Linked DNA regions of Rattus norvegicus. Each later gene encodes a partner of the first gene's protein in a complex. Links are inferred from orthologs where the notes say so. Each region holds a gene or a part of one and is shown in the gene's direction. Other genes may lie near its edges. The genes, in order: Nup107, Nup153, Ranbp2, Cetn3, Nup133, Nup93 and Nup98.

Region 1 (3,886 bases):
ATATCTCTCTGTCTCTGACATTCTCTCTTTTTTTTTTTTTAAGAATCATAGTCATTGGGGCTGGGGATTTAGCTCAGTGGTAGAGCGCTTACCTAGGAAGCGCAAGGCCCTGGGTTCGGTCCCCAGCTCCGAAAAAAAGAACCAAAAAAAAAAAAAAGAAAAGAATCATAGTCATTGATTTTTTTTTTAAGTTTATTTATTTAATGTATGAGTGTTCTGCTGCATATATACCTGCCTGCCTATAGAGGGCATCAGATCTTCCTAAAGATGGTTGTGAGCCACCATGTGGTTGCTGGGAATTGAATTCAGAATCTCTAAAACAGCAGCCAGCCAGTGCTCTTAACCAATGAGCCATCTCTCCAGCCCCTTCCCCATCTCTATTTTTAAGGAAAGATTTCCCTGTGTAGATCTGGCTGTCCTAGAACTTACTCTGTAGACCAGGCTGGCTTCTAACTCAGAGATCCTCCTGCTTCTGCCTCCTGATCGCTGGGATTAAAGGCATGCACTACCAGTCCCTGCTAAAATTAGTCTTTATCTCATGTCTATGAACCTGTTGCCAGCATGTATGCCTGTGCACAGAAGAGGGCATTGGATCCCTTGGTACAGGAGTTAAAGTTGTTGGGCACCATGTGAATGTTGGGAATCACACTAGGGTCCTCTGGAAGAGCCTCCAGTGCTCCTAACAGCTAAGACACAGTCTCTGTTCTCTTAGTCACCACTATTCAAGGCCTCACGCTTTAAAATTTTCTATTTTTTTTAAAACTGTGCAAAGAAATATTCTCCTAGAAGCTTCCGAGTCCTTAGACGGCCATCCCTGTCTTGACCCTTGCTGGCCTGATGAGGGTACGACAGTTATCGTGCATTAATGGACTGAGGAAGTAGCTGGTAGTTTTGTCTGCTTTACTCTTACGATGTTCGGCCTCTGGTTCTTTTGTGGGCCGTTAGTCTGGGTGCATTTGCAGGTCCTTTGGCAGTGTCGTGTTTCACAGTCTCCTCTGGCACATTCTCTTCATCCTCATGTCTTTGACCCTAAAATTTTACTAAAAAAAAAAAGCAATCAGGGCTGGAGAGGTGGCTCAGCAGTTAAAAGCACTGGCTGCTCTTCCACAGATCCTGAGTTCAATTTCCAGCAACCACTCATAACCATCTCTAGTGGGATCCCACGCCTCTTCTGGTGTATCTGAAGAAAGCAGCAGTGTACTCACATACATAAAATAAACAAATATTTTAAAAAATCTAGTTTGATAGGCCAGATAATATGATTGACACTGCCAGTTTTATATTTTAGTAGGTATGATGAAGGCTAGAGTGATGGCTCAGGTATATAATGTCTTTCAAGCTCCAGAACCTGGATCTGGTCCCTAGAAGCTCTCCTTACAGTGCTAGCTAGCACTAAGGAGGGAAAGACAGGAGGAACCCAGCGTTTGTCGGCAAGGCAGTCCAACCCAATTGGTGGGTTCCAGAGCAGTGAGCGTCCCTGTCTCAAATGAGACAGACACTGCTCCTGAGGACGACACCCAAGGTTACTCTCTGGTACTTATACACACATGTATGCCTGTACCCACTCACATACAAATGTACACATACATTTTAAAATATAGGCATGATAAGATTTGGAAAATGAAATTTAGTGTTTCCTGGTTTTGACTAAGTAGTCCACCCTCAACGTGCCTAGGCCACTCTAGGACCTGGTGGAGACAAAACTGTTCCCTTTCATCATAGCAAATGGAGTGTTTGATGTTTTCATGAATCCCTCACACATCCTCCTGGTCTGTAACTTCCTTTCAGATCACAGATACCTACTTTACCACAAATGCTATCTAAACAGTTGTATACTGGATTGCTTAGCTAATATAATAATAATAATAATAATAATAATAATAATAATAATAATAATAATAATAATAAAAAGTGTGCGTGTTTAATGTAGATACAGCTTTCCCTTGACATTTTCATTTGCCGTTGGTTAAATCTGTTGATTCCTAGTGGAATTACTTAATTACTTGTTGGTTTTGTTTTAATGTTTTTGAGACAGGATCTTTCTAGCATGCTGTATAGACCAGGCTTGCCTCACCCTGCGCGTGCCCCCTGCAGTGGCTCCCTGGGTGCTGAGGTTTGGGGTGGCAGGTGTCAGCTCCCACACCGGCCAGCTATACTTGGCTTCTGTGTGGGTAACGTACATAGCGTATAGTTGTTCAGCTGCAGCCTGGATGCTTGTCTGCAGGACGCTGAGGAAGACCCGGAACGAGCTCATCAGATGGTTTTGCTGAGAAAGCTCTGTCTCCCCATGCTGTGCTTCCTGCTTCACACCATACTGCACAGCACCGGGCAATACCAGGAGTGCCTGCAGCTGGCCGACATGGTGTCCTCTGAGCGCCACAAGCTCTATCTGGTGAGTCCCTGACCATTTGCAGTGTAACTTTTACTCACTTGATATGCTTGCATGGTAATATTTGTGAATAAACCCCTGTTTACATATTTTAGTTCTTGCGTTTTCTGAAAATAATGTTCTAGTTTCAGTGTACTTAGTTTCAAAAGTGTCCATACATTTGAGCATAGATAAGTAAGTAGCCTGCTGTGAAGGAGCGGGAGGTGGGTCTCTGAGCCACATAGACAGATAGAGCTTCAAGGAAAGGTTCTTAAGATTGACTAGGTTTTTTAAAAAGTTAATATTCTCTCTTTTTTTTTTTTTTTCGGAGCTGAGGACTGAACCCAGGGCCTTGTGCTTGCTAAGCAAGCGCTCTACCACTGAGCTAAGTCCCCAACCCCGATATTCTCATTTTTAATGTTTTTTTTTTTCTCCTTTTTAAATGTCAGGTATTTTCTAAGGAAGAACTAAGGAAACTGCTGCAGAAGTTAAGGGAGTCCTCGCTGATGCTCCTAGACCAGGGGCTTGACCCGCTCGGCTATGAAATCCAGTCATAATTCACCATTCTCTGCGCCCGTGACTACAAGAGGATGCCTGCTTGCTTGGCTGTGTTGCTTAGTTGGTTGGTTTTGGTCAGATATACATATTTGTAATTATTGGTTTATTTGTTTGTTTGTTTCCTTTGGCATTCTTGGGGAAAATGTAAAATTTTGGCTTTTGAATTTTGTATTATATCAGTATTTCCTTATGTATTTTTTAAAGAAATTATACAAAATAAATTTTTTGTTCTATAGATACGTTTTCTCTTATGTAATAGAATAAAGAAGTGAAATATTTTCCCTATAATCATAAATTCCTGACATTAATGTTTAAAGAGAGTAGGTAAGAAAGAATAGATTCGTTTTCAATCCAGATAAGTAATTTCTCATCATAAAACTGGGTATTTTTCTGAATATTAAGTTCAGGATGAATAGCAAGAGTGTTTTAACATGGAGCTGGAGGGGTAGCTCAGCAGTTAGAGCACTGGGTCAGGATTCATTCCCCAGCACACATACCTTGGTTCACATCCATCGGTAATTCCAGTTTCAGAAGTCCAGTGCCCTCCTTTGGCTTCTGGGCACCAGGCACACACAGGATGAACAGACAGCCTAGCATTCTCATGGGAGGCAAACCCAGTGACTTCTAACCCCATCTGAAGAGAGGATCTGAGCCCTCTGGCAAGAGCTTCACTCATGTGCACATACGTCACACACATGTGATGTGTAAATCTTTCAGCATTGTTGAATGAGTATTAGTTTTCTTAGATGTGATCACTGGAGTTCTGTCAATGTGGGAACTGTACCCCCTCATTCTTAGGAGATAAAAGCTGAAATATTTAGGGTTCAGAGTCATAAAATCTGCACTTCATGTTGAAATAGTTTGCTTTAAAATTAAAGTCTACACATCCAAAGCAATGTTGTAAAATAGGGATAATCTAAACAACGGGATTGTTTATAATACTAATCCTTCAACTTCCCC
Region 2 (3,886 bases), on another chromosome or scaffold:
CAGTAGGAGACTTAATTTGAATTGAATTTGGAAAACCTGACAATGGAAGGAAAAAAAAAAACATTCAGTGGCTCCCAGGGAAAAATTGCTTCTGGGATTATGCCAGCCTGATCATGGGCAGCATATGGAAGCTCATGACTTTCATTCTCTTTTACTTTTTGAATATAGGGTGGAACTGTGTGAACGTGGCTGGCCTGGAAGTTCACTGGGCCATTATGTTAACTAGGTTGTTCACAAACAAATGATCTGCCAGTGTTGCCTCCAGACTGCTAGGATTAAAGGAGTGCCCTACTCTGCTTGGCTGGATAATACCTTGACAACACTAGACAGACTGTACCAGTCTTTCTTTTCTTTCCTGTGGTACTAAAGGCTGGGAAAACCAGATCCCTGATGGTGTGGGTGTATGGTATGAAAGGTAGCTTGTTTCAAAGAAAGACATTTCCTAGGTATTGAGTCAATTTAATGAAAGCTTCCCCACTTCCATACCAGAGTTCCATGTGAATATTTTTCTTAAACTATTCCTTCAGTACTTCAGCAAGAAGTACTCCAAAACTGTATTGATGAGCGATGTCACGCATCTAACTTGGGTTTCTGTCACTAAGATTTCTCCTTGGTGAGGACAGACAGTGTCTTAGTCACTTTGTTTATAGGCCTGTCTAGAGGTTTGCCGCATCTTTGTTGGGACTTAACAACTGTTCAGTTTTAAAGGTGACTAATTAAAAGACGATCCTTGATCTAGGCTTAGGTGGTGTACACTCTAATTCCAGCACTTAAGATTGGGGGCAGGTGATGAACTCAAGTTTGACCTCAGCTAGATACTGAGACCCTATGACAAAATATCAATCCTGGATAGATGGAAGGACTTCTATGAAATGCCTGTTTTACACTGGCCTTTAGCCGGACTTCAGGTAGAAGACAACACTGGATTTTTGACTAGGCAACACTTAATGATCATAGATACTGAAGTCATGTGACATAGCTGTGGGAATACTTGGAAGAAGCAATGGATGAGGAGGAAGACTTGAGTGTACTGAGGTCATTGTTGTAGGGAGGCAGAATGACATGTGGTAGGTAGCAGTGACAGACTAGAGAAAATTGTGTATAATGTAAAGATGACCTGTTTCTATATTTATAGAACTTAGATTTAAATAAGTAGATTTAAATGTCATATAGACACATAATGATATGCTTGTGTAGGTAATTTAAAAAAGCTTAATCATTCTCAGATTGTATAACCTGATAGTTGTGGAAACCCTCCCCCCTCAATAATAATGATGTAGTTAATTATTTGATTAGAATCCCACTGGCTTGGTTTAGAGGAACACTCTTCTTTTTTCTTCACTGTAGGTTTCATGTCACCAAAGGTTGATTCTCCTGCTCTTCAGCCCACAACTACAAGCTCAATAGTTTATACAAGACCAGCAATAAGTACTTTTTCTTCTAGTGGGGTTGAGTTTGGAGAAAGTTTAAAAGCTGGATCATCATGGCAGTGTGACACATGTCTACTCCAGAACAAAGTCACAGACAATAAGTGTATAGCCTGTCAAGCAGCAAAACTGCCACTGAAAGAAACTGCTAAACAGACTGGAATTGGGACACCAAGCAAAAGTGACAAGCCAGCTTCTACATCAGGGACAGGTTTTGGAGATAAATTTAAACCAGCAATAGGAACTTGGGATTGTGATACCTGTTTAGTGCAAAATAAGCCTGAAGCAGTAAAATGTGTAGCCTGTGAAACACCCAAACCTGGCACTGGTGTGAAGCGAGCCCTTCCATTGACGGTGGCTTCAGAAAGTCCTGTGACTGCTTCCTCTTCTACCACCGTGACCACTGGTACACTAGGATTTGGAGATAAATTCAAAAGGCCCGTGGGATCTTGGGAGTGTCCGGTATGCTGTGTTTCTAATAAGGCAGAAGACAGCAGATGTGTCTCCTGTACATCTGAGAAACCAGGTATGTTTTACAGCTATGGCTATGAAATAGTTTTACTCATTACTTTGGTAGAACATTTAACTGTGAGACGGCCTAGAAAACCCTGGTGTTTAAAATGGTTCCAGACGAGCATTTCTTATGTCTTAATTTTTTAAAAACTATCTTGGAGTTTACATCTCTTGATTAGGTTTAGATTACTTGTTCTCACAGACTAGGTTGTGAACTGACACATTCTGTGCTGCTTGTTCTGTGTGGTGTCATTAGAATCTAATAATAACAAGTGAAGGTACTGAAAGCTCGCAGTGGTTTAGTCTTCCTCAGACCATCTTGCTGTGTCTCCTTTGTCTATGTAGAAATGAGGGTGGTTGGTCATTTGCAAGGGGTTCTTCAAAAAGTAGGTAGTCATGCTTTAATCTGGTGCTTATTTCTGAAGATTATTGGTGTTCTCTGTAGCCATGTGCTGTCTACCAGATTGTAATTTAATTAATTTTGGTGAAAAACTCTTTAACTTGGTTACAAAAATGGAATTTGGTTTGAGATTCTCTTTATTTTAGAATTATTATTAGCAGATTTATTTTTAAATTTGTTTTGAAAGTGTATAGTAATATAGATAGCAAATAACATGTTTATTGTAGGAGTTAAGACTGTAGGAGTCACATCAGCTGTGGGTCTGTAGACATTCTGTAATGTGAGATTTACTAGCCAGATTTCTTTCCTGAGCTCTTCCTATTTCTAGTTAAAATTGGCATTAAAAGAGGATCCTGATTTCAAAATATTTAACTCTTTCCATCTGGCACTGTCTCCTCACCTCAACAAAAGTATATATGTGGAGAAAACTAGAATTCTGAGTTGACAGATGTGAGATTTTGAATCAGGAAGTAAATTATTTAGGAGCAAAGGAATTTTATGAATTAATATGAAAATACCACCACCTTTCTTCTGGGCACAATGCCCTGTCAACAAACGGATGATTTGGTCAGGTTAATTTTTTTTCTTCTAGTTTTCAGATAGAGTTTATGTAAGCCTTGCTGGCATGGAACTTGATTGATAACATAGTGTAGATATAATTATATCAAATTTGGCCTGGTCATTTACAGGGGATTCTTTAAGAGGTAAAGAACCTGTCTCTGCCTCCAGTTCTCATTTTATTTTTGGGTGGAAAAATTTTTTTTGGTATGTGTATGTGCATCTGTTTCTCTGTGTATGAGCATATGTTAGCCTGAAGAAGCCAGAAGAAGGTATTGGATTCCCTAGGACTAGAGTTAGAGATTGTGTTTCAAAACTAATCCAATCTGCAAGAGCAGCAAATACTTTTAACTGCTGAGCCATGTTTCTAAGCTCAAACTGTACCTAATATTTCAAGTTTATTTATACATTTATTCATTTTATGTGAGTGTTTTGTCTGTATCTATGTGTGGTATGTATGCATGTTGCCATAACTGCTTGACATCCATGAAGGTTAGGTGAGGGCATCAGATCCCCTAGAATTAGAATTAGGAATGATTGTGAACAATGCAGCAGAATTCAAGGTAGCAGAATTTGGAAGGACAGCTTCGGAAGTTTGCGTGAGTAATATAAATGGCAGATAATGGTGACAAAGGATCAGATGGTAGAGTTGGATAATGAGGGAGGATTTAGAACTATGTACTAATGACAGATTTCAAGGTGGTAAAGTTGACATTCAGATATATATTTGAGGCTTTTGAATTCATCACAGGGACTATATCTATACCCTTGGGACTGGAATGCAGATTTTAGGGGATTATAGCACACAGTTTGATATTTGAAGTCCTAGGAATAGATGTGAGTTCAGTGAATTGAGGAAAGCACTCCAAACTGAGAAAGAGTCAAACATCGATCTTTGACTAACTGGAATAACAACTGTGACAGAATAACCTTTGAAGGAGCTGACTAGAATAAGACCAAGACCAAGTGTTTCAGACAGAAGATTACT
Region 3 (3,766 bases), on another chromosome or scaffold:
AACTGGCTCCAGGGGAAATCCAATGCCTTTGGCTTCTGTAGTCATCTGCATGCATATATATGCACACACTCGCATATAGACTTATACATAAATTAAAAGTAAAGTACATCTTTTAAGAAAATTAAAAATGGTTGGAGGGAGAGCTTAGTGGCTAATTCCCAGTACCCACATGGAGGCTAACGACTGCCTGTAATTCTGCTTCCAGGAGATTTTATACCTACTTTTGGCATCGGGGCAATGGAAGACTTTAATGCATAGATACACATGCAGGCAAAACAGCCATAATCATAAAATGCCATAAAAATAGAACACTTGGGTGTGAGGTTAGTTTTCCAGACAGCATATTGTTATACAGTACTAGCCCAGAGTGGCCTCAAACCTGTGGTAATCTGTCTCTCAGGCTCTGGAGTGCTGGGATTGTTGAGCACCCATGCAAAGAACCACATTCTTACTGGTCTCATACAGCTCAGACTGACCTTGAACTGACCTTCCACTCCAGTGTTGGGATTACTGCTGAATACTGCCATGCTTGGCAAGAATCAACATTTTTGAAACCTCTTGACCTTTTAAAGGCATTTTCTTCCACAGCGATAAACTTTGTAATAATAAATCACATTAATGCTTAACCAAGTCAGATATATTACTAGTGTAGGCTATTAGATACCATATTGTAAAACCTTTTGGCATTGGTTAATAGCATTTGTTATAACTAGCCGTTTATGTAAGTTATTCTCATCTTATGTCATAGGTAGAAGTGAAATCTGGAGAAGAAGATGAAGAAGTTTTGTTCAAAGAGAGAGCCAAACTTTATAGATGGGATAGAGATGTCAGTCAGTGGAAGGAGAGAGGTATTGGAGATATAAAGATTCTTTGGCATTCAGTGAAGAATTATTATCGGATCCTAATGAGAAGAGACCAAGTTTTTAAAGTGTGTGCAAACCATGTTATTACCAAAGCCATGGAATTAAAACCTTTAAATTTTTCAAACAATGCTTTAGTTTGGACTGCCTCAGATTATGCTGGTGAGTGTGTACATTCAAATGCCTTTTAATTTGTTTGACTTTTCTGATATCTATAACCTACACATGCTTTGTAAGTAACTTTAATATTAAGGTCTTCCCATCCCCACCCTCACCTCCTTTTAACAGATGGAGAAGCAAAAATAGAACAGCTTGCAGTGAGATTTAAGACAAAGGAAATAACTGAGTGTTTTAAGAAAAAAATTGAAGAATGTCAACAAAATATAATGAAACTCCAGAATGGACAAGTATCCCTTGCAGCGGAATTATCTAAGGAGACCAATCCTGTGGTGTTTTTTGATGTTTGTGTGGATGGTGAACCTCTAGGACGGATAATCATGGAATTATTTTCAAATATTGTTCCTCAAACTGCTGAGAACTTCAGAGCATTATGCACTGGAGAGAAGGGCTTTGGTTTTAAGAACTCCATTTTTCACCGAGTAGTTCCAGATTTTATTTGCCAAGTAAGTGTTACTGTACATACATACATCATGATATCTGGTAAAATTAGACCACACGGATTTGGGAAGGTATTTCTTCTTGCCCTTATCCACATCTTGTGAATTTTCAGTTTTCCCACACTGTAATTGGACATTACTCCTTTTCAAACATTCAGTCTGAAAGGCTCCAAATTTCTAATGCTTAGTGTCTGCCCCCGATTGCCCACTGAAAACAAAACAACAAAACATATTTTTTAGTTTCCAAATTTTTTAAAATTTCTTTTGAGACAGGGTTTCTCTATGTTCTCTTGGCTGTCCTGAAGGTCACTCTGAAGACCAGGCTGGCCCCAAACTTAAGTCTACCTTTCTCTGCCTTCTGAGTGCTAGGATTAAAGGTGTGCACCACCACTACTGCCTTGCTGTCAAATGCATTCTAAAAGAAATAGAGCATTCATGATTTACCCCATCAGGCTGATTTCTGTGTGTTTCAATGTTTGAATCAGTATTAACAGAAAGATCTTTTTGTTTGTTTTCAGGGAGGAGATATTACCAAATACAATGGAACAGGAGGACAGTCCATTTATGGAGATAAATTTGACGATGAAAACTTTGATCTAAAACACACTGGTCCTGGCTTACTATCCATGGCCAATTGCGGCCAGAATACCAACAGTTCTCAGTTTTTTATAACACTGAAGAAAGCAGAACATTTGGACTTTAAGCATGTAGTGTTTGGGTTTGTTAAGGATGGCATGGATACTGTGAGAAAGATTGAATCATTTGGTTCTCCTAAAGGGTCTGTTAGTAGAAGAATTTGTATCACAGAATGTGGACAGCTATAAAATAATTTTTCACAGTGGATTTTATCTATATAAGCAGTTGAATTTATGCTTAATTGTTACACAGTATAGTAATTATGTTCACCTTTTGAAAACAGACGTTTCTGATGTATAAATGTAAAATTGTAGCTTATAGCTGTTGTCACTTTTTAGTGTGTAATTGATCTTGCATGGTGTGAAATAAAAGTTTAAACACTGGTGTATTTCAGGTGTACTTGTTTTTATGTACTCCTGACATATCTGTATTAGAATGGCTAATACTAATTTTGTTAAAAGCAATAGAATTTCCCAGACTATTGAAGGAATATGATATATGCAATCTTATTTTAATTCCTGTTAAGATATCTGGACTTCTTGCATGGTACTTACTGAATAAGGGGACCACAATGCAGATAACTTTATTTTAGATTTGAAATATATATGTATATATATAAAACTATTCCTGTGCTCATCTATGTATAGACTCAACTTATGAATAATAGAGCCACAGAAGATGAGAGTTAACCAAAGTGCTCTTCTGGAATTTTTATGCTCCTGTATAGTTAAAATTAACTTTTAAGTAGGATACTGTCTTTTCTTAAGAAGTGTTGTGCTCTTTTGAAGACATTAATTTTTACATTTTAAATAAGTCGATTATTTCCTTAGCTAGCTTTCTCTCCTTCTTCCTTCCCATCCTCCTTTCTTCTCTATTTTCTTCCTTCTTTCCATTCACTTTTCTGTTACCTGTCTCTACTACCTCAGAAACTTCAGCTTGGTCCTGATGATAGAATTGAATTTTTCTCTAGTTCTTGTGATAAAGTATCAATATTTTTTAAAAGATCGATACCATGTTCTTTGGTTAAAGATTTGCTTTATATTAGATTGTTGCAGTACCTTTTTCTGGTGAATTTTGTAGCAGAAATAAAGTGATGATTGATAAGTCATGACATTTAAAACATTGATTACTTGTGCATCTAAGTTGTCTGTTCCTTCTGTGACTAGATGTAAAATGGGATCAGTTAAAGGCCAGCACTCTCTGAGCTCAAACTTCAACACCAAGAGTTTGCTAAACACTGAAAATGTACTTGGATATGGTTTGTGTCAAGTTAGGTAAACAGAAGGGGATGTTCTTATGGGCCTACTCAGTATAACACTAAAAGGAATCTAGTTAAACCATAAAATTCTCTGTAATCCAAACTTAAGTATTGAATCACCTGTTTTCTTGTGTCCAACCATTAGATTGGACAAGGCAGGTTATGGCTTACTTAATGAATTTATGTAATAGCATCACTATAAAAATACTTAATCCCGCAACCAGATACATGAAATAACCTACCTCAAGTTGGCCTTTTAAAGAGAACCATGTACACTTAGTAGCTTTTTTGGAAACCATGTAATATAAAGTCATGTAAAAGTGGTGAAGTTTTTCAGCTGAGAAGTCGATGCCATATTTTTAACCTAAGTAAATGAATTTTTTTTTTAATTTTGA
Region 4 (4,686 bases), on another chromosome or scaffold:
TCATCCTGCCAAAGTCTCATAACTCTTTAAGTAATTTATGCTTTTGCATTTGGTGGTGTTCATCACTGTCCTGATGTCTGTCACTCCTGCTTCCAGGGACATCATTATTCTTCACTGTTCGATTTCGGCTTCTAGCATCCATGACTCAGGGGAATGCTTCTCTACATCTCTGTTTTCAAAACCATGATAACAGACTGAGCCTTAACAAGTCTTTTCTGGCTCTGATCACAGGTGGGTAAAAGTCCTGTACTCGTCAGAATTAGACATTGTGATTAGACTCTGTTCCCTCTCATGACCCATTTTAACATTATATCTCAAGGTGTGGATTCTAATTTGACTCGTAGACATCTTTTCCCCTATTAGGTACCATATTTATGGTTTCAGGATACCAAGATGTAGCCTTAGCTATTATTCTACCTATCATACCACTATGATCTATGTACAGCCTCCAGAACAGTCACTTATGAATCACTGGTAATTGTACAATGTTTAACTTAACTTCATATCTGTGCACTAAATAGTTAACATTAAATATTTAAGAAATAAAAGTACTTAATTTTATATTTTAGGCAGAGTCTCACTACTAGTCCTGGCTGGCCTGGAATTCACAATGTAAAGAACTCAGAGATCCGATTGTATGTCTATTGGGTGCTGGGATTAAAAGTATGTAGCACCACGCCCAGCAAGTTCTTCATTTCTCTACTTTGGTTTTGGGAATGCTACCATTTAGCTATTACTTTTTAGTTCTATCCCAACTCTCTAGTCAAATTTCTATCTACACTCCAGGCTTAACTCATACACAGCCAATTACCCAGTGTCCTTCCTTCACATACAAATTTAGATATAGTATTTCCCTTTTCTAACACCTAGCCCCAGTTTATTGTATTTATGCCTATAAGAACTGCTTGGTTAGCTCAGGAGTTTCCAAGTTTTCCACAATAAGACTTCGTTTTACGCATCAAGTATTTATGGAACACCTAAGTTCCAGATATTTCATTTGGTACAAATATTCGTGTAAACGGAATTGTGGCCTTGAGGACAGTCGGTCTAGCAGCTTGGTGATCGAAGTAAGCTTCAAGAGGCTTGGTGGGGAGTGGAGATAGAATGCACACACAAGGTTTACAGCACTAGAAAGTGAAGAGCAGAAGCAAACAAATACATTGCAAGTCGCACAGAAGAAAAGGATGGTTTAGGTAGTCTCACTGTACATGACCTAACAAAACAACAAAATGAAAAGACTAATCCAGTCTGCCTTAAAATCACTTGGGAAAGCTGTACGGGGAAGAATGCTTAGCTTGGTCGTTACTGAACTAAGATTGGAGAACATCACCTTTAGATTTAAGTTTCTCGGGTGTACCAGCCACCCAGAATTGTACATCTTTTTGTAGACCTGGTTCCTCAATCACTGCTCCGTCTGAGCAGGCTGCTTGTGCCGTGCCTTCTTCCCCTTCCTTCGGTCGACGCTGTGCACGCGTGCTCGGAACTCCAGCACCATGTCACCCGTAGAGCCTAGCCTTGCCTGCCTGAACCCCGCGTGGTGACTTAACAGGCGCGCAAAGGATTCAGGAAAGCATCTGGCCAATCCAAGGGGTCAGACAGACAGCAGGGCGAAATGTGTACTTGACTGACATGAATGCTGACCAATGGAAACAGAAGACAATCGACGCTTCCGCCCCAATGGGCCGGCTGTTGGCAATTTCGGCCAATCGCACCCAGAAACTTCTGTCAGGTGGGTGGTCCCCGAGGCCGTGGAGGTTGGTGGCTGTTGAGCGGTTCTCGTGGTAAAGTCCTTGAGCGGAACACCTCTGTCGGAAGAGAAAATGAGTTTAGCTCTGAGGTCGGTAACGAGGAGGCCGCGCCTCCGTTCCCCAGAGGGGCCAGGGAGGGCGTGGAAGGGAGGCCGAGTCGGGAGCGGACGAGGAGTGCCGAGCATCAGACCTCGGCGGTCCCCGCCTCCCACAGCGCCGCTCCCCGAGTGAAGTCTCGCGAGGTTTCCCTCACGCATCTGCGGGTTTCGGGCCTGGCCGCCTGCTTCCTCCGGAAAGTCACAGGAGAGCTCGCCTTTCTGCCCGGGTCCCGTGGCACGCTGTGCTTTGGGCGTCCTGGGTGGATCTCGTTTCCGTGACACCCTCCAGTCACTTCCGGACATCCCCCCTCCCCATTGGCTCCTCACCCTGTCCATCTACACTTAAAGGCGCCCCCGGACCGCGCATTAGCCTGGGGTGGGTGTGTGGCGAGTGTGTGTGTGTGTGTGTGTGTGTGTGTGTCCGCGCATTAGCCTGGGGTGGGTGTGTGGCGAGTGTGTGTGTGTGTGTGTGTGTGTGTGTGACCGCGCATTAGCCTGGGGTGGGTGTGTGGCGAGTGTGTGTGTGTGTGTGTGTGTCCGCGCATTAGCCTGGGGTGGGTGTGTGGCGAGTGTGTGTGTGTGTGTGTGTGTCCGCGCATTAGCCTGGGGTGGGTGTGTGGCGAGTGTGTGTGTGTGTGTGTGTGTGTGTGTGTGTGACCGCGCATTAGCCTGGGGGTGTGTGTGTGTGTGTGTGTGTGTGTGTGAGCTGGGGTCACGTGAGAAAGATTCCTGGCTGCCACCGTCACCCGCTCAGCACTGATCTCCCACGTCTGGTCCACCCGGAGGGCGTTCCTGACGAGACGCTGTTACAGTCAGCCGAGTTTTAAGATTTTGAGGTTTTAAAGCTTCCATCTTTTAAAACGTGCTGATACACGTGTTGTGTCGTATCCTCGTTTAAACATTTGGACTGCTTTTTGCATTGGCAGCTCTTAAGGCAGACATTTTCAGATCCAAGTGCCCTTTTTAGATTTCCTTTAAACTTCAGAGTTTTTAAATGAAGACGTCTAACCTATCGTTTACATGTTAAGTGAGAGTTAAAACACTTTTAAACATCACGTCGTGGACTTAAGCACGAGTATTAGATGCTGCGATTCTGGGCGCCTAGTATTTGCATGTTTAGGCCCTTTAATAGTTTGCCTGGCTAATATCAGTGGAATAAAACCACAAAGCACTGTTAGAAATGTATAATCTAAAAACATTTTGGACTTAGAATGCTAAAGTAATCTTTTAAGTTTTATGGATGATTTTTGTAGTAATTGTGAGTTGGTTGTCATTTGTGAATTTCACTTTTGTATGTTTTTTTTTTTTGGTTATTTTTATGTTCTTGGTAGATGACAGGAATAATATGTATGATGCTTTCAACTTTGATTAGGATTTCGGTTATAAAAGTACATTTGGACTACAGGACGTTAACTTAGGCTCAGTTTCTTTATGTGCCAGACTACTCTGTTGAAATTTAGAAAATGATTCTTTGTCCTAAGTTGGGTTAAAGTAGACTAAAGGCATTTTTCTGTGTCCTAGAGGTGAGCTTGTAGTAGACAAAACAAAAAGGAAAAAACGAAGAGAACTCTCTGAAGAACAGAAGCAAGAAATTAAAGATGCTTTTGAACTGTTTGATACCGACAAAGACCAAGCCATAGATTATCATGAATTAAAGGTAACAGGGTATTTAAGATCCATTTTTGTTTAACTCAATTGCGTTTGTGCCTGTTGCTTTAAAGTCTACTTTAGAAGCTTGTTTCAGAACTGTGAGGCTGTTTGTAGTGCCCACCCACAGGTGCTACAAGAAAACGGAGTAAAAATGGAGTATGGCTTCTAGAACCTTGTATTTAAGTGTAAGAGTGCATCTTGATGGGAAGTCTAACTTTTCCATTCACCCAGTAAAGGGACAGTTCTTAGCATGTTCTTCCTACAGTTGTTTTCTTCTGTGTGATGATATAGCTCAGATTTTTAACAAAACAAAATTTTTTGGCATATGCATGTGCCCCTGCTGGCCTGTACATCCCCTTGTGTATCATGTGGTGGGCAGAATAGGGCCTGTGTATCTTCCATCACTCTACTCCACTGCCTTGAGACAGGCTATTTCCCTGAGTTGGAAGTTCAGCACTTGAGAGTGAACTCTGGGGATCGCTGCTGTCTCCACAACTATGCCTGTCTTTACATGAGTGATGGGGATTTGAACTCTGGTCCTCAAGATTTTAGGGCGAGAACTCTTACTGACAGTTTTGAAATGGAGAGATCATTGACTTTGCTCAGACATTTGAGATTGACTTTTAATTTTTAAGATAATACTAGCACACTCTTAGAGTACACTCTTCTCTGTTACAAAGGATATAAATTGTCTGATGCCTAATGTTGCTACGTGCAGAAGGAAAATGTCCTACCCAAGGCTTTAATTACTAGTAAAGAGGGAAGGGGAAATTGGTTATGAACACATTTCTCACGTTCAGCCTAGTAAGAAGGATCACATTTTGATCTCTTTAAGTACCCTTAAAAGTTCATTTAGTAGTTTTAACATTATAGGGGTAGAATCTATGTAGCGAGATGATAGACTATTTAAAAGTAATAATAGACTTTGAAGCTTTGGCCTCAGTCTTGAGGTCCTCCTTTAGCTCATTCCCTAACCCACTGTTCTCTTGCTGCTGCTCCCCTCCTCCACATAGCATGAGTTCTTCCTGTCCAGTGTCTTAGCTATTCGTTGTCATTGACCATCACAGATGGGGACTTTGTCTCATAGCTGGAGCGTCCTCATTTCTGACTTGTCTTTTACACCACCATTAATTCCTGTTGTTCTTGAATCCTTTGACTATGTTCGTTGCTCATAAGCTGTTTCTGGCTGT
Region 5 (2,950 bases), on another chromosome or scaffold:
GAGATTCCTGATGAACTCAGTGGGACCAGCACAGCTGTCAGCAGAGCAAACACTGGAGAGGGTAAAGGGGACTGGAGCGTCACAGGCAGGGACACCTGCTGCTTTTGCAGGGACCCTGGTGTGTTCCTCACCCACATGGCAGCTCACAACCATCTGTAGCTCCAGTTCCAGGAGATCCTGTGCCCTCTTCTGGCCTCCCTGGGCATCATGCACACACACAGTACATTTATATACATATCAGCAAAATATTCATAGGCATAGGCAAGTTTCTAGGTGGCGGTGGTTGTGAGTTCGTGTGAACGCAGTATAACTTGGGGCCAGGATTATGAAGTTTTACTGTGCTCTTCAGTGAAGCCGAGCTTTAGTCGGGTTGCTCTGTTTGCTGTACAGGAGGAAGATGTGAACATCGATGACCTGAAACTGGAGATCCTGTGCAGAGCGCTGCAGAGAGACGAGTAAGTCCTCTCGGGCACCAGGTCCACGGGTGGGAACCGTGACTGGGCACACAAGATGGCTTACGTGCTTCTGGGTGTTTCACCTTTAGCGTAACACACCATGGGTTACTGCGTATTGATTGAGTTTCCCGTTGTGCACTCCAACCCCACTCATCTCCCCACCCCTTCTGTCTGTCTTCCTATGCCCTTGCAACTCCCCCAGTAAAACAAACAACAAAAGCATAGAAACATCCCATCTTGGAAGCTGTAACATGTCACAGTGTGTCACACAGTATGTCCATCTGTCCATACATCTTTACTTGCTCTGTTCATTGCAATGACTTATTGGTCTGGCTCCACATCTCTGGCTTCTGTGACATCGTCAATATTGGGTCCTTACTGGACCTTCTCCTGGTTATCCTGTTGTTGCTCTGTGTCATGGAGATCCTACAGGTTTGGATCAGCAGGGCTGGTCCTTACACACATCTCTCGCCATTTGAAGAGTATATAGACTGTGGGCCAATCAGAGCCCTGAATCTAGGCCTGTGGTAGGTAGCTGAGCTGGCCAGCCTGCCAGCTCTACCTTATCCGCACCACCAGGGGGAGCTCTCCACTGCTCCAGCTAGGCCACCCAGTGCCACCGTCAGCAAGAGCAAGGTTGGCTGTCGTGCCCTTAGGCTGGCTTACCTGCACATCCTCCAGAGCCAGCTTCACTGTGTTGCCCAGTTAAGGCAAGGAACCAGCCTGGGAGGGGCTGGGCCAGCTCTCCCTCCCTCCCTCTCTCTGCCCTGGACTGGCTCCACTATGCTGCTTAGGCAAAATGCAAGGCAGGCTCCTGAGTGAGGAGCAGGACCAGGTCTTTCGCTCTCAGAAACATACTGTATTGTGATGAGAACTCCCTGGCCCAGTTTCAAATGTTTAGCCATTGTATGTGGGTGTGGTAGAGGTCAGAGAATAACCGTGGAAAGTTCTCTCCTTCCCTACCTTCTTCACCTGGTGTCAACCTTGCAACATCAGACCTGGATGGCAGAATGTTTACACACTAAGCCCTTGTTTTACATTGGCTGTGGCTGTGTACATGGAGCACTAGAAAACAGCTGCAGGATCTTCATGGCCACAGCTGAGGTCGCACACTCATGGTCAGGAAAGACAGGAAGTGCTGAGAACTGTTTAGACTGCTGTGCTCGGGACAGCATTCTAGGATGCTGACTAGGTTTGTAAATGAAGCATTTTCTTCAGAAAGATGCCTCACAACAGGTATGATAACGTGCCTGTGATTCTAGTAGCACCTGAGAGGTGTGAGGCGTGAGGATAGAGTTTGGGGCTAGCCTGTACTACATAGCAAAATGCCATGTTCAAAAAACCAAAGTCTTAAAGCTTCTGTGGTGGTGGAATTGATAGCATGTGCTGCCAGTGTAGCTTAGGCCAATACAGATGTAGATAGGTCCCATGTCTAAAGTCTGTCACTTTGATACTTTAGAGCAGTGTCCCAGAACCTGTCATCCCATGGCTATCAGGAGAAGGCCACAGTGGCAAACAAAAACCATGTGTCAGTTGCCATGATGATTCCGTTTACCTTGTGATTTTTTTTTCAGCTGGTCTGGCTCAGATGGCAGAGACGATCCGATTGAAGTGTCTAAAGACAGTGTGTTTGTGAAGATCTTGCAGAAACTTATAAAAGATGGTAGGTGATTTATTAACTATTAGAGATTAAATGTTGCAGGGGGCTTGGTGGAGCACATCTTTAATCCCAGCACTCAGGAGGCAGAGGCAGGCAGATCTCTGAGTTTGAGGCCAGCCTGGTCTACAGAGTGAGTTCCAGGACAATTAAAGCTGTTACACAGAAAACGTTGCAAGTTAATTTTGGATATCGTGGGAATTGTGTGTTGCCAACATGACCCGTGCCAGGGGTCAGATGAATTGGGATCCTGTGCAGGATAAGCCTTGTTCTCAGTGAAGGTGCTTTTCTGTTTTTGGCACTGGGGCCTCAGGGTTAACAAGGTTCAGTTGAAGTTCTTCACCCCTTGACACAGACTCTGGTTATAACAGCCAAAGTCTGACTGAAATGACTGTCTGCTGACTCCTGCAAAGACTGCAGATGTGAAAAGAGAAATAGACTCTCGGTGTACTCCTTCCTTCCTGAGCTGCTCAAGAGTAAATGACAAGAGGGCTGCAGAAATGGCTCTGCAGTTACCAGACGGGCGTTCAGTTCCTAGGTCCCATGCTGGGCAGCTCACATCTGCCACACAGTCACCAGCTCACACATGGCACAGTCACCAGCTCACACATGGCACAGTCACCAGCTCACACATGGCACAGTCACCAGCTCACACATGGCACAGTCACCAGCTCACACATGGCACAGTCACCAGCTCACACATGGCACAGTCACCAGCTCACACATGACTGCTGGGCCATCTCAGCAGTAGAGACTTCCGCCAGGCCTGAGGACGTGAGTTCATCCCCACGTGGTGGAAGGAAACAGTCAACTCCTAGAAGTCGTGCTCCGACCTTCA
Region 6 (4,520 bases), on another chromosome or scaffold:
CTAAGCATATCAGGCAAAGCTTAATAGAACACTTTATCAGGCAGGCATCCACCAAACTAGAATTATTAATGGTGACAATTTTATCTAGGCCTGTGTTCACATGTACCTCATTATGTCAGGTGGGTGACCTTCACTGAAAGATTAGACATGTCTGAGACTGTGCAACCCAAAAAATGCCTCTTTAACAAGTAAACGCTATTATGGGAGCTGAAGCAATGGCTTAGCATACTTCTCTTGCAAAGGACTTGTTGGGTTTCCTTCTTAGTACCCATGTCTCACAACCACTCCGGCAGATCCGATGACCTTTTTTGGCCCCCTTGGGCACAAGGACACACACACACACACACACACACACACACACACACACACACACGCACACACACACATTCTCCTCCCAGCAGTTGCTGAGATCTGTAGCTTGCCTGTACTGTTTTGTCTTTTCTTTTCTTTTCTTTTCTTTTCTTTTTCTTTTTTTCGGAGCTGGGGACCGAACCCAGGGCCTTGCGATTCCTAGGCAAGCGCTCTACCACTGAGCTAAATCCCCAACCCGCCTGTACTGTTATTTTTCTCTCAAACTTCCAGCAAAATTGTCTTCCTTCTGGGTCTGTTTTCAAATTTCTTTTTACTTACTAAACTAAGAACCTCCAGAAGGATTCTTATATATCCCAGTGACACACTTTGTTCCACTTCCCAACATGGCTACACTGAAGTAAATCTCTTTGAAGTTTCACCACTGTTCTTTTCTGTAATTGGCCTACTGGGGCAGGCGGCCAACCTAGCTTGCTTGTTCAGACTGCCAAAACACAGACTTTTCCCTTAAAAACTCCAAAACATGTTTTTAGCTTCCACCTTTTAGTCAGAATGTCACCTGAGAGAAGCCTTCCTTGGTAACCCAACCATTTTTCTTCAGTTAATTTGCTTTTCTGTTCTTAGCTCTCCTAATTACTCCTGTATTTATTCACTATATTTTGTTTCCCTGGCCAAGCTGAGAATCGTTTGAAGTCAGGGATCTTGTCTGCTGCGGAAGTCACCGTGTCCCCAACACCTAGAACAAGCCCAGGCACTTGCCTAGAGCTCTACAGCGAGTAGCTGAGCTCTCTGGTTTGGTCCAGCTGTGGGAACTGCGGAAATGCTTTCTCAAGTACTGTCAACCTGAACTACGTGGGCGGGAGAAGGGCGGAGCTCCCTTGACTTACTTGTAGCGACAGCTCCGCCCCTGGTTCCGCCCCAGCCCCGCCCACGTCTGTGTTCTCTTGCGGATCTCCATAAAGTTCACTTGGCGGCGCAACGCGCAGGGGCTTCTGGGAGCTGACCGCCTCAGCCAATCAAGAAGCGCGGGCGAGCGGCGCGAGAAGCGGCGGCGGCGGCGTAGTGAAGTAGCCGGGAGCTGGCGGCGAGCAGGCGGCAGAGCCAGGTAAGGCATGTGCGGCGTGGGCGACCACGCGACCCCGATCCTGGGCCTGGCCCGAGTTCGGGGTCTGGCCTCGAAGCAGAACCCCGAGCCTAACTCGAACTCCATCCTATGTTCGTAGCCACGAGGCTCGCGCTTCCTTTCTTGTGGTGGCTGGCTGGGCACGCCGACCGGCGACAGCTCACCGAGTGCTGTGACTAGGCTCTTCTGAGCGTGGTCCTTCCTACTGGTGCACTATCGCCACGCCCACCCACGGCTGCCAGGCGTCACTAGGCCTGGCTGCCCTCTGTGGGTCGTGGGGGGCGTTCTTCTAGAGAATGGCTTTTCCGGGTGAAGGGAGGCCACCCAGCGAACCCCTGTCAACTGTTGTCTCCTTTTACGGATAATCCAACAGGATGCTAATGGTTGCCACTCCGGTTGTCTCTTCTGTTTCTGGGTACCCTGTATCCTATCTTCTGTAAGGAGTGCCCAAATATATTGGGTCCCTTCTAAAAGAAAATCACAGCATGCCGGGCATGGTGTCACTGTCAAAGGGAGTTGGAGCCAGGCTGGTCTACATTAGACCCTGCCCCACCCCTACCTCACTAGATGACTTTCAGCACAAGCAAAGGTCAGCACTTTAGTAACAATAACAGTAATAATCATCATCATCATCATCATCATCATCATCATCATCATCCACCCCTAGTTCCCTAGATGACTTTCAGCACAAGCAAAGGTCAGTGCTTTAGTAATAATAGTAATAATAATAACAACAATAATATAAGCCCCCCCCCCATAGTGAGCTGTAAGGCTTTTAAATAATGTGACCCACATTCTCAGAGTCTGTTACACCCCCCCCCCCCCCCACCGCTACCACTGCTAGACATGCTTTGACTTCAGGTCTTAGTTCTTGTGGTTGGATGTCTGTTTTGCCAGCTCTAGAGGGGCATTTAGAGTGTAAACCTTTCCTCACTCCTTGTCTTCACTGCCTTAGTTGTATTCCAATATTTAGGTTCTACTCGACCTATGTCTTGTCTCTCCGCTGTAGAACATGAGCGCCTACCTAGAACCTGGGTCTGGCACACAATAAAGTAGGTGCTCAATAAATACCAAATAAATGAATGTTATTGATATCATTATAGGCTTGTGAATGTGGTGGTGAATGAGACAGGCTTGTTTCTTGGGAAGACATCATATATATAATATATATTATATATACATATGAGTGTATATACATATGTACATATATGTGTGTGTGTATATGTATGTATGTGTGTGTATACACACACACACACACACACACACACACACCATGAGAGATGAACTGTTGGAGCTGTGGTGAGTTTGGGGTCTCTGTCCCCCTCCCCCCTCCTTCTTGTGTGACTTTTATGTATATGGATATATGTATGGAGTCCAGAAGAGAGTGTCTGGTTCCCTGGAGCTAGAGTTACAGACAGCTAGCTGTAAATCACTGATGTGGGTGCTGGGAACTAAACTGGGGTCCTCTAAAGAGCTGTAAGTTTTCTTAACTGCTGAGCCATCTCTCTAACCCCTGGGCCTATGAGGTAGTTACATTTAGAAGTGTGGGTGTGTGTGTGTGTGTGTGACAGAGTAAAGATCAGGAAGAAGACCCAAGTCTGTTATGGTCACTGGTCATTTTAATTAGCAAACACATTTTTAGTTCTGTTGTGTGCCAGGCTTAGCTAGATGCTCAGGATTCAGGGTTAAATATTTGTGAACCTTTCCCTACAGGAAGACATGTTTGAGAAGAAGTGGTTGCAATTGCTCCACTAGGGAAGAACGTTCAGTATAATTAGGGAGTCCTTTGGGTAGGTTAGAGCAGCCCTCTGACTTGGCAGTATGCTTAGGAGCTCCCTGTGTCTGGTGAGGATGTGAGTGTACTTGACATGGACTGGAGCATGAAGGAAGGAAACTATGCAGAGCTTCCTAAGGCATAGAGAACTGTCAGGGTACAGCTGGGGAGGAGTCGAAGATGGTGCATGGCACTGTCTATTCTACAGAGCATGCAGCCAGGTCACAACCTGAGGTTGAAGGTGCCCCTGATGGTCTAAAGTAGGAGGTATTTTGGAATATCCACTTTGGCCACAGCAAGACTGGGTTAGAAGAAATGGGAAGTTTTAGGCTGTTGAGGTAATTGGAGGAAGTTATGAGGGTCAGAGCAGAGAGGAAAGGTGAGGGTGTGACTCGTTATGAGGTATGAGAAGTAAACTTGGAGATAGGCTGGGCTCGGGGGAGAGGGGAGCCAGATGGTTTCTGGTTAAATTGACTGTTGTGGGGACCTAAGATGAGGAACTAGAATTGTCGCTGGCACTCATAGATCAGTCAGGAGTAGCTATCAGATAGACGAGTAGAAAGAATTGGTTTGGAGAAAGAATTAGAATTTAAAGATGCAGGAGTTTTGTTTGTTTGTTTGTTTGTTTGTTTGTTTGTTTTTTTGCCTTATTTTATGGCCTCTTATAGTTCTCTCTCCTCTGTTTCAAATAACCTAAAGGTTGAAATGTTTTGTAGCTTTATACTTTGTATGCATTTGATTGTGTGTGTGTGTGTGTGTGTGTGTGTGTGTGTGTGTGTGTGTGTGTTGGGGGTGGTGAGATGCATGCCCATGCGTGTTTGTGGATGTCCCAGGTCAGGAGTCTTGAGGTTGGCGTTGGATGTTTTTGTTGCTTTTTGAGACAGCAACTCTCTCTGAACCTGGAGCCTACCAATTGGCTAGACCAGCTTACCAATGAGTCACCCAAGATCTACCAGTCTCTGTCCATCCCTCCCTCAGTGCTGGTGTCAAATTGATGCCACCACATTCAGCTTTATACATGGGTACTGGGGATTCAAACTCGCATCCTCACGCTTGCGCTGAACTCACTTTTCGCAGTCAGCGGCCTTCTGTTTGTAAGGACTAAAGGCCACTTTACTCCACCAATGCGCTCAAATAGTAGCTTAATCTAACTCCAGTACACAGTTACTGACTACCAGGAAAACCTCAAGCACCTCCAGAAATTTCTGTTCTACATTCCTGTGCTGATCTGTAAGGTCAACTAAAGGAATAACCTTATTCTTCTCCCTCCAGTAGTTTTCGGGTGTCTTTGGTGTATTAGTTACTTTTTGTTCA
Region 7 (4,672 bases), on another chromosome or scaffold:
TGTGTATGTGTGCTTGTGCCATGGAGTGTGTGTGGATGTCAGAGGTCAACTTTCTGGAGTCAGTTCTTTCCTTCCACTATGCAAAGCCAGGAATGGACTCTCATTAACATGCTTGGCAGAAAGTGTTTACCTTGTCTTGTCATCTTCTGATCCTCCTACCTCCACCTCCCAAATGCTGGGACTGCAGCTGTGCACCTCTATGTCCAGTTATGTGTTGCTGGGGATTGAACTGGCAGGCATGCGCTGTATCAACGGAGCTACATCACCAGCCCCGACACCACTTCATTTTTAAGATTCTTTTAAAAATATAGATCCCATTATAGTCGGTTGTGAGCCACCGTGTGGTTGCAGGGAATTGAACTCTCAGGACCTCTGTAAGAGCAGCAATGTTCTTAATCGCTGAGTCCATCTATCTCTCCAGCCCTTTCAAGTTGTTTTTATTTGCAGGAATCATTTAAAATTCTTGAGCAATGTCTTTTTTTTTTTTTTTTCCGGAGGTGGGGATCGAACCCAGGGCCTTGCGCTTGCTAGGCAAGCACTCTACCACTGAGCTAAATTCCCAACCCCCTTTTAAAATTCTTAACAAATCTCGTTTCAGTTCTATACTGATGCCCCAGGAGGTGGTGGAGAAGTAGCGTGTACCCTCTCTTTTGAGCACAGCTCCTGCTATCTGTGAGACCTCAATAATTAGAGAGGTCCGATTTCTAGAACATGTCCACCCCTCTGCTCTTAGCTAGGTCCTAGGAGGAAAAACATCAAAAGGATGAAAATGAAGCTTTGACCCAGACCAGGGGAGGGAGGAAGCACAGAACAGAAAATAAATAAGATACAAAGTAACAAGGTCTTGACTTCACCCGGACTTGTTAAGGTTACCAAATGTGTCCAGGAGAAGGAGGGAGATTTGCGCAAGAAATCCAGAACAAGTACAGGTTCTGAAAGTGCAGCTGAGGCTGAAGGGCCAAGAATGCTCATTGGGATCAAGCTCTGTAGGGCAAGTCCATGGCTCAGGTCTACCCTAGAGATTCAGAGGGAAAAGTGTACGAGGGCTGGCTTGCACTGGAAAGAGCAGTGGGGAGAGGATTGTCTGCAGACAAGCTCTGTGGACTGATGGGTCTCCGGGAAGGGTTCTCCAGCTCCGCAAGTGCTAGCTAGATGGCCAAGGAATCTTCCCATGATTGCCCGCAGAAAGGAGCTAGAGAAGGGTAGAACAATTACCATATCATCCTTGGGTCTTCCTTCTGATTGGCCGAAGCTTCCGTAGCGAGTCTCCGCGCTCCAAGGAAAGGGGCGGGGTCTGAACCCAACGTCACTGCTGTTTGGTGCTCACTACTCTAGCCACTCACCTGCCCTCTTCGAGGGCCCTGTGTGACGTCATGACCCTTTCTCAGCCAACCGTTGCCGCAGAGAGAGTGGGACTCCTCGTCCCTCCCCATAGTCCCTCCTTTTTTTTTTTCTTCCCCCTCTCCCCGCAATTCCTTACGCCCCTCCTCTTCCTCTCCGCTCCTAATCAGAGACCGCCTTCACGTTCGGTTTCAAAACGCTCGTCACCCAATGAATAACGGGGTAGGCCTCGAGTGGCGGACCGGCCTGCCAATGCCCGGCCGCCAAGGGCGGAGCGCCTGGGGCCGACCTCTGACGGTAGACGGCGTGTGACGCAGTCGGGCCTCTACGCGCTGCGCCCGAAGCGGCGGTCGGTGGCGGCGGCGGTGGCGACGGTTTCCTGGCGGTCGCGCGCTGCTCTGGTGAGCGGCGGGTGACGGAAGGACCTGGGCTCTCACTCCAGACACACCGCTGTAAGTCGGGAGCGCTGACGGGGCTGGGCAGGTAGATCATCCCCTCTGTACCGGCATCTGCGCCGGACAACCCGGGCCCTCTTCGCCGACCAGTCTCGTGCCGGGCGCGCTCCTTCGGGCCTGCGTGAGGGGGCGGGGCCCGCGGCCCTGTGGCCTGGTTCCGGAGGCCCATGGAGGGGATCCAACTGTGTGGGGCGTAGGCTGGGGGGTCTTGGGTGACCGCCCACTCTGAGTGAACCTCGTTCTCACCGGTGCTACTCATTCATTCGCTGGGTGGAGGTGAGCAGCCCGTGGTAGGCTGGCCCATGCGGGGTGGTGCCTTAGGGGACTTGAGGTCTCCCCATCACTTTCTGGACCACTCTACAGGACGCGTTTTGTCTAGGGTTAACCAGAGGGGTTGAGTGAGTCAGAACTGCGTTGGCTTTTTAAGACAATGACAATTGTCTGGTCAGTGGAATGAAGGGTTCTTTTTGTTCCGTGTAAACCTAGGTGAGAAAGATTGAATTTCTGAATTACTGTAGCCATAAGCATTTTAAATTGTCAATCACCCCCAGTCTGCGTCAGAGGCTTTGCAGGTGGGAGGGAGGGAGGTAGAGTAAGAGACAGGATTCAGAAATCCCAGGAGTCTTGGCTCAGGTCTAGTAGAATTTTTATACTATTCCATCCTTCCTGTATGTTCCAGTCTTCCAATATTGGCAATTCTTTATTTGGTAAGGGGAAGGACACAGACATTTGACATAGTTTTCAATATAGTTCCAGTAGTTTAGCTGCAACCATCTTCGCTTTTATAAGGTAACTTGATTAGTAGTACTGATGTGGACTTTTTATTTTTGCTTTTTTTTTTTTTCTTTTTCTTTTTTTTTCGGAGCTGGGGACCGAACCCAGGGCCTTGCGCTTGCTAGGCAAGCGCTCTACCACTGGGCTAAATCTCCAACCCCCCCCCCCCCTTTTTTTTTTTGAGACAAGCTCTCATTCCAAAGCCCTGATTGGCCTGGAATTCGCTATGTAGAACAGGCTTGCCACAAACTCAAAAGAGACCACCTGCCTCTACCGCTGAGGTAATGTAATTAAAGGTGTTTGCCATCACAACCAGACTTAACATAGACTTTTGAGAACGAACCTTTAAAAATAGTGAAAGAGACTTTAACCTTGAAAGTGCACACCTTAAATCCCAGCGCTTGAGAGGCAAAGGCATGAGGTTCTCTGTGATTACAAAGCTAGCCTACTCTACATACTGGGTTCCAGGACAGCAGGGCTGCAAAGAGAGACCCTGCCTCAAAAAGCCAAGGGGCGTGGGGAATAAAACCAATATAGATGTGGTGCAAGCCTGTAATGTGACCAGTTTTGAAAATTGAAACCAGAGAACTAGTGCATACACAAAAGTGCAGACACTTAACACATATGATAAAAGAAATAATTGAATTCATTTCAATAAAATGGAGAAAAAATGAGGGTGACCATATTAGGGGTACTGGGAAGTACAATGATAAAATTAAATCTGATACTTAAGATTCGATGAAGTTAGTTGTCAGTTTGATGAATATGTCCATTAGCTTGTAACTTTGATGTTTATATAAACCATAAAACCTAAAAACAAATAATGCAAAAGCACAGAAGAGGACTGAAGTCTTAAAGTTGTAACCTGGTGTTTTCTATACCATTTTCTCAGTTTGAGCATCACCACCTGGGAAGCTTTTTTTTTCTGGCACACTTTCCCTTGTAAGCTTCCATAGCACTTAGCTGATCTCTGCTTCTAGCACACATTTTACATATTAACTATTTGTCTTTTTATTAGATTTTAGGGGGTTTTTCTTTGCCTTTTTGGTTTTAGGGTTTTTTGTTTTTGTTTTTGTTTTTGTTTTTTTTGGCTTTTGTTGTTGTTTGGGGGGTTGTTTTTAGTTTTTTTCTTGCTGGCTGTGATGGGCATGCCTTTAATCTCAGCACTCCAGAGTTACAGGGAGGTGGATCTCTGGGACTTTGAGGTCAGCCTGGTCTGTATAGAAAGTTTCAGGCCAGTCAAAACTGCATAATGAGACTCTTTCTCAAAAAACAAATGATAGATACTTAATTTTTTTATGTTTAGGTAATGTGGCTCATAGGTGGTACTCAGTTGTATTTTGTGAATGAACAAATGTAGAAAAGTTAAACTGAAAAATATTCCAGGAAACAGGCTAGATATTTGTGTACTTCTGAAATACTTGGTTTGGTTTGGTTTGTAGCCACTAGCTCCTAGGTATCTAATTATACTTGTAAGGCCACCAAATTCACATTTGGGGAAATAATATTACTTGTGTGGTGATAGTCTAGGACATCAGTATTGTAATACCGAATAATTTCTAGTAAAAGACTATAAAATTCTGAAGTTCTATGCCTTGAATTCCAGCACTCAGGAGGTAGAGACAGGGTGATCTCTGAGTTTGAGGCTAGCCTGGTCTACAAATCTGTCTTCAGGAAAACCAGGGTTGTTACACACAGAAACTCCATCTCACCACCACCCCCATATACATACATACATACATACATACATACATACATACACACATACATACATACATATATATGTATACATATGTATATATGAGTATATATATTATGTAAATCTTAATAGAGGCCGGATATTAAGCATTTTATGAGACTTTGGTGTGCTGTTGAAATAGCAGCTGAGATTATTGAGATAATTTTTTAATTTGGAGGATCTCTTGTGAGTTGTAGAATATGTAACAGCTTTCTTTCCTCCTCTACCTGTTTGATAGCAGTTAGCCATTCCTGCCCAAGTTGTAACTACCAAGGTCAAGAAATTATCAAAAATATCCCTGAGTGAAATCACTGCTTACATTTTAGTAAAGCTCTTTCTTTACTTTACTTGTAAAGTTAGTTCA

Evidence for each region.
Region 2: Nup107 (region 1) and Nup153 share a complex: the UniProt entries of both Homo sapiens proteins name them as parts of the nuclear pore complex. The link is inferred for Rattus norvegicus from reciprocal best matches to the Homo sapiens genes NUP107 and NUP153.
Region 3: Nup107 (region 1) and Ranbp2 share a complex: the UniProt entries of both Homo sapiens proteins name them as parts of the nuclear pore complex. The link is inferred for Rattus norvegicus from reciprocal best matches to the Homo sapiens genes NUP107 and RANBP2.
Region 4: Nup107 (region 1) and Cetn3 share a complex: the UniProt entries of both Homo sapiens proteins name them as parts of the nuclear pore complex. The link is inferred for Rattus norvegicus from reciprocal best matches to the Homo sapiens genes NUP107 and CETN3.
Region 5: the proteins of Nup107 (region 1) and Nup133 are in contact, whole or in part, in a crystal structure (PDB 3CQG), measured with the Homo sapiens proteins. The link is inferred for Rattus norvegicus from reciprocal best matches to the Homo sapiens genes NUP107 and NUP133. Residues at the interface, in NP_065134.1 of Homo sapiens: Leu875, Gln876, Ala878, Asp879, Val881, Ser882, Ser883, Glu884, Tyr889, Lys894, Leu897, Arg898, Leu900, Leu901, Gln902, Arg905, Ser908, Leu909, Leu912, Asp917, Pro918, Leu919, Tyr921; in NP_060700.2 of Homo sapiens: Trp937, Leu938, Ile941, Asn942, Gln944, Leu946, Tyr963, Ala965, Lys966, Lys968, Thr969, Leu970, Gly972, Leu973, Lys975, Leu976, Ala977, Leu979, Ala980, Ser981, Asp982, Ile992, Glu999.
Region 6: Nup107 (region 1) and Nup93 share a complex: the UniProt entries of both Homo sapiens proteins name them as parts of the nuclear pore complex. The link is inferred for Rattus norvegicus from reciprocal best matches to the Homo sapiens genes NUP107 and NUP93.
Region 7: Nup107 (region 1) and Nup98 share a complex: the UniProt entries of both Homo sapiens proteins name them as parts of the nuclear pore complex. The link is inferred for Rattus norvegicus from reciprocal best matches to the Homo sapiens genes NUP107 and NUP98.

The regions. Positions count from the first base shown.
Region 1 is NC_086025.1:55,238,887-55,242,772, reverse strand, and holds the end of Nup107 (nuclear pore complex protein Nup107), read left to right. Parts: intron 1-2,224; coding exon 2,225-2,392; intron 2,393-2,817; coding exon 2,818-2,925; 3' UTR 2,926-3,163; downstream 3,164-3,886. UniProt on the Homo sapiens protein: Plays a role in the nuclear pore complex (NPC) assembly and/or maintenance. Required for the assembly of peripheral proteins into the NPC. May anchor NUP62 to the NPC. Involved in nephrogenesis.
Region 2 is NC_086035.1:18,216,330-18,220,215, forward strand, and holds part of Nup153 (nuclear pore complex protein Nup153), read left to right. Parts: intron 1-1,347; coding exon 1,348-1,953; intron 1,954-3,886. UniProt on the Homo sapiens protein: Component of the nuclear pore complex (NPC), a complex required for the trafficking across the nuclear envelope. Functions as a scaffolding element in the nuclear phase of the NPC essential for normal nucleocytoplasmic transport of proteins and mRNAs.
Region 3 is NC_086038.1:27,033,335-27,037,100, forward strand, and holds the end of Ranbp2 (E3 SUMO-protein ligase RanBP2), read left to right. Parts: intron 1-748; coding exon 749-1,022; intron 1,023-1,148; coding exon 1,149-1,483; intron 1,484-1,995; coding exon 1,996-2,301; 3' UTR 2,302-3,239; downstream 3,240-3,766. UniProt on the Homo sapiens protein: E3 SUMO-protein ligase which facilitates SUMO1 and SUMO2 conjugation by UBE2I. Involved in transport factor (Ran-GTP, karyopherin)-mediated protein import via the F-G repeat-containing domain which acts as a docking site for substrates.
Region 4 is NC_086020.1:13,823,359-13,828,044, forward strand, and holds the start of Cetn3 (centrin-3), read left to right. Parts: upstream 1-1,732; 5' UTR 1,733-1,820; coding exon 1,821-1,837; intron 1,838-3,367; coding exon 3,368-3,503; intron 3,504-4,686. UniProt on the Homo sapiens protein: Plays a fundamental role in microtubule-organizing center structure and function. As a component of the TREX-2 complex, involved in the export of mRNAs to the cytoplasm through the nuclear pores.
Region 5 is NC_086037.1:68,790,919-68,793,868, reverse strand, and holds part of Nup133 (nuclear pore complex protein Nup133), read left to right. Parts: intron 1-390; coding exon 391-455; intron 456-2,029; coding exon 2,030-2,118; intron 2,119-2,950. UniProt on the Homo sapiens protein: Involved in poly(A)+ RNA transport. Involved in nephrogenesis.
Region 6 is NC_086037.1:10,790,769-10,795,288, reverse strand, and holds the start of Nup93 (nuclear pore complex protein Nup93), read left to right. Parts: upstream 1-1,351; 5' UTR 1,352-1,414; intron 1,415-4,520. UniProt on the Homo sapiens protein: Plays a role in the nuclear pore complex (NPC) assembly and/or maintenance. May anchor nucleoporins, but not NUP153 and TPR, to the NPC. During renal development, regulates podocyte migration and proliferation through SMAD4 signaling.
Region 7 is NC_086019.1:166,000,359-166,005,030, reverse strand, and holds the start of Nup98 (nuclear pore complex protein Nup98-Nup96 proprotein), read left to right. Parts: upstream 1-1,664; 5' UTR 1,665-1,793; intron 1,794-4,672. UniProt on the Homo sapiens protein: Plays a role in the nuclear pore complex (NPC) assembly and/or maintenance. NUP98 and NUP96 are involved in the bidirectional transport across the NPC. May anchor NUP153 and TPR to the NPC.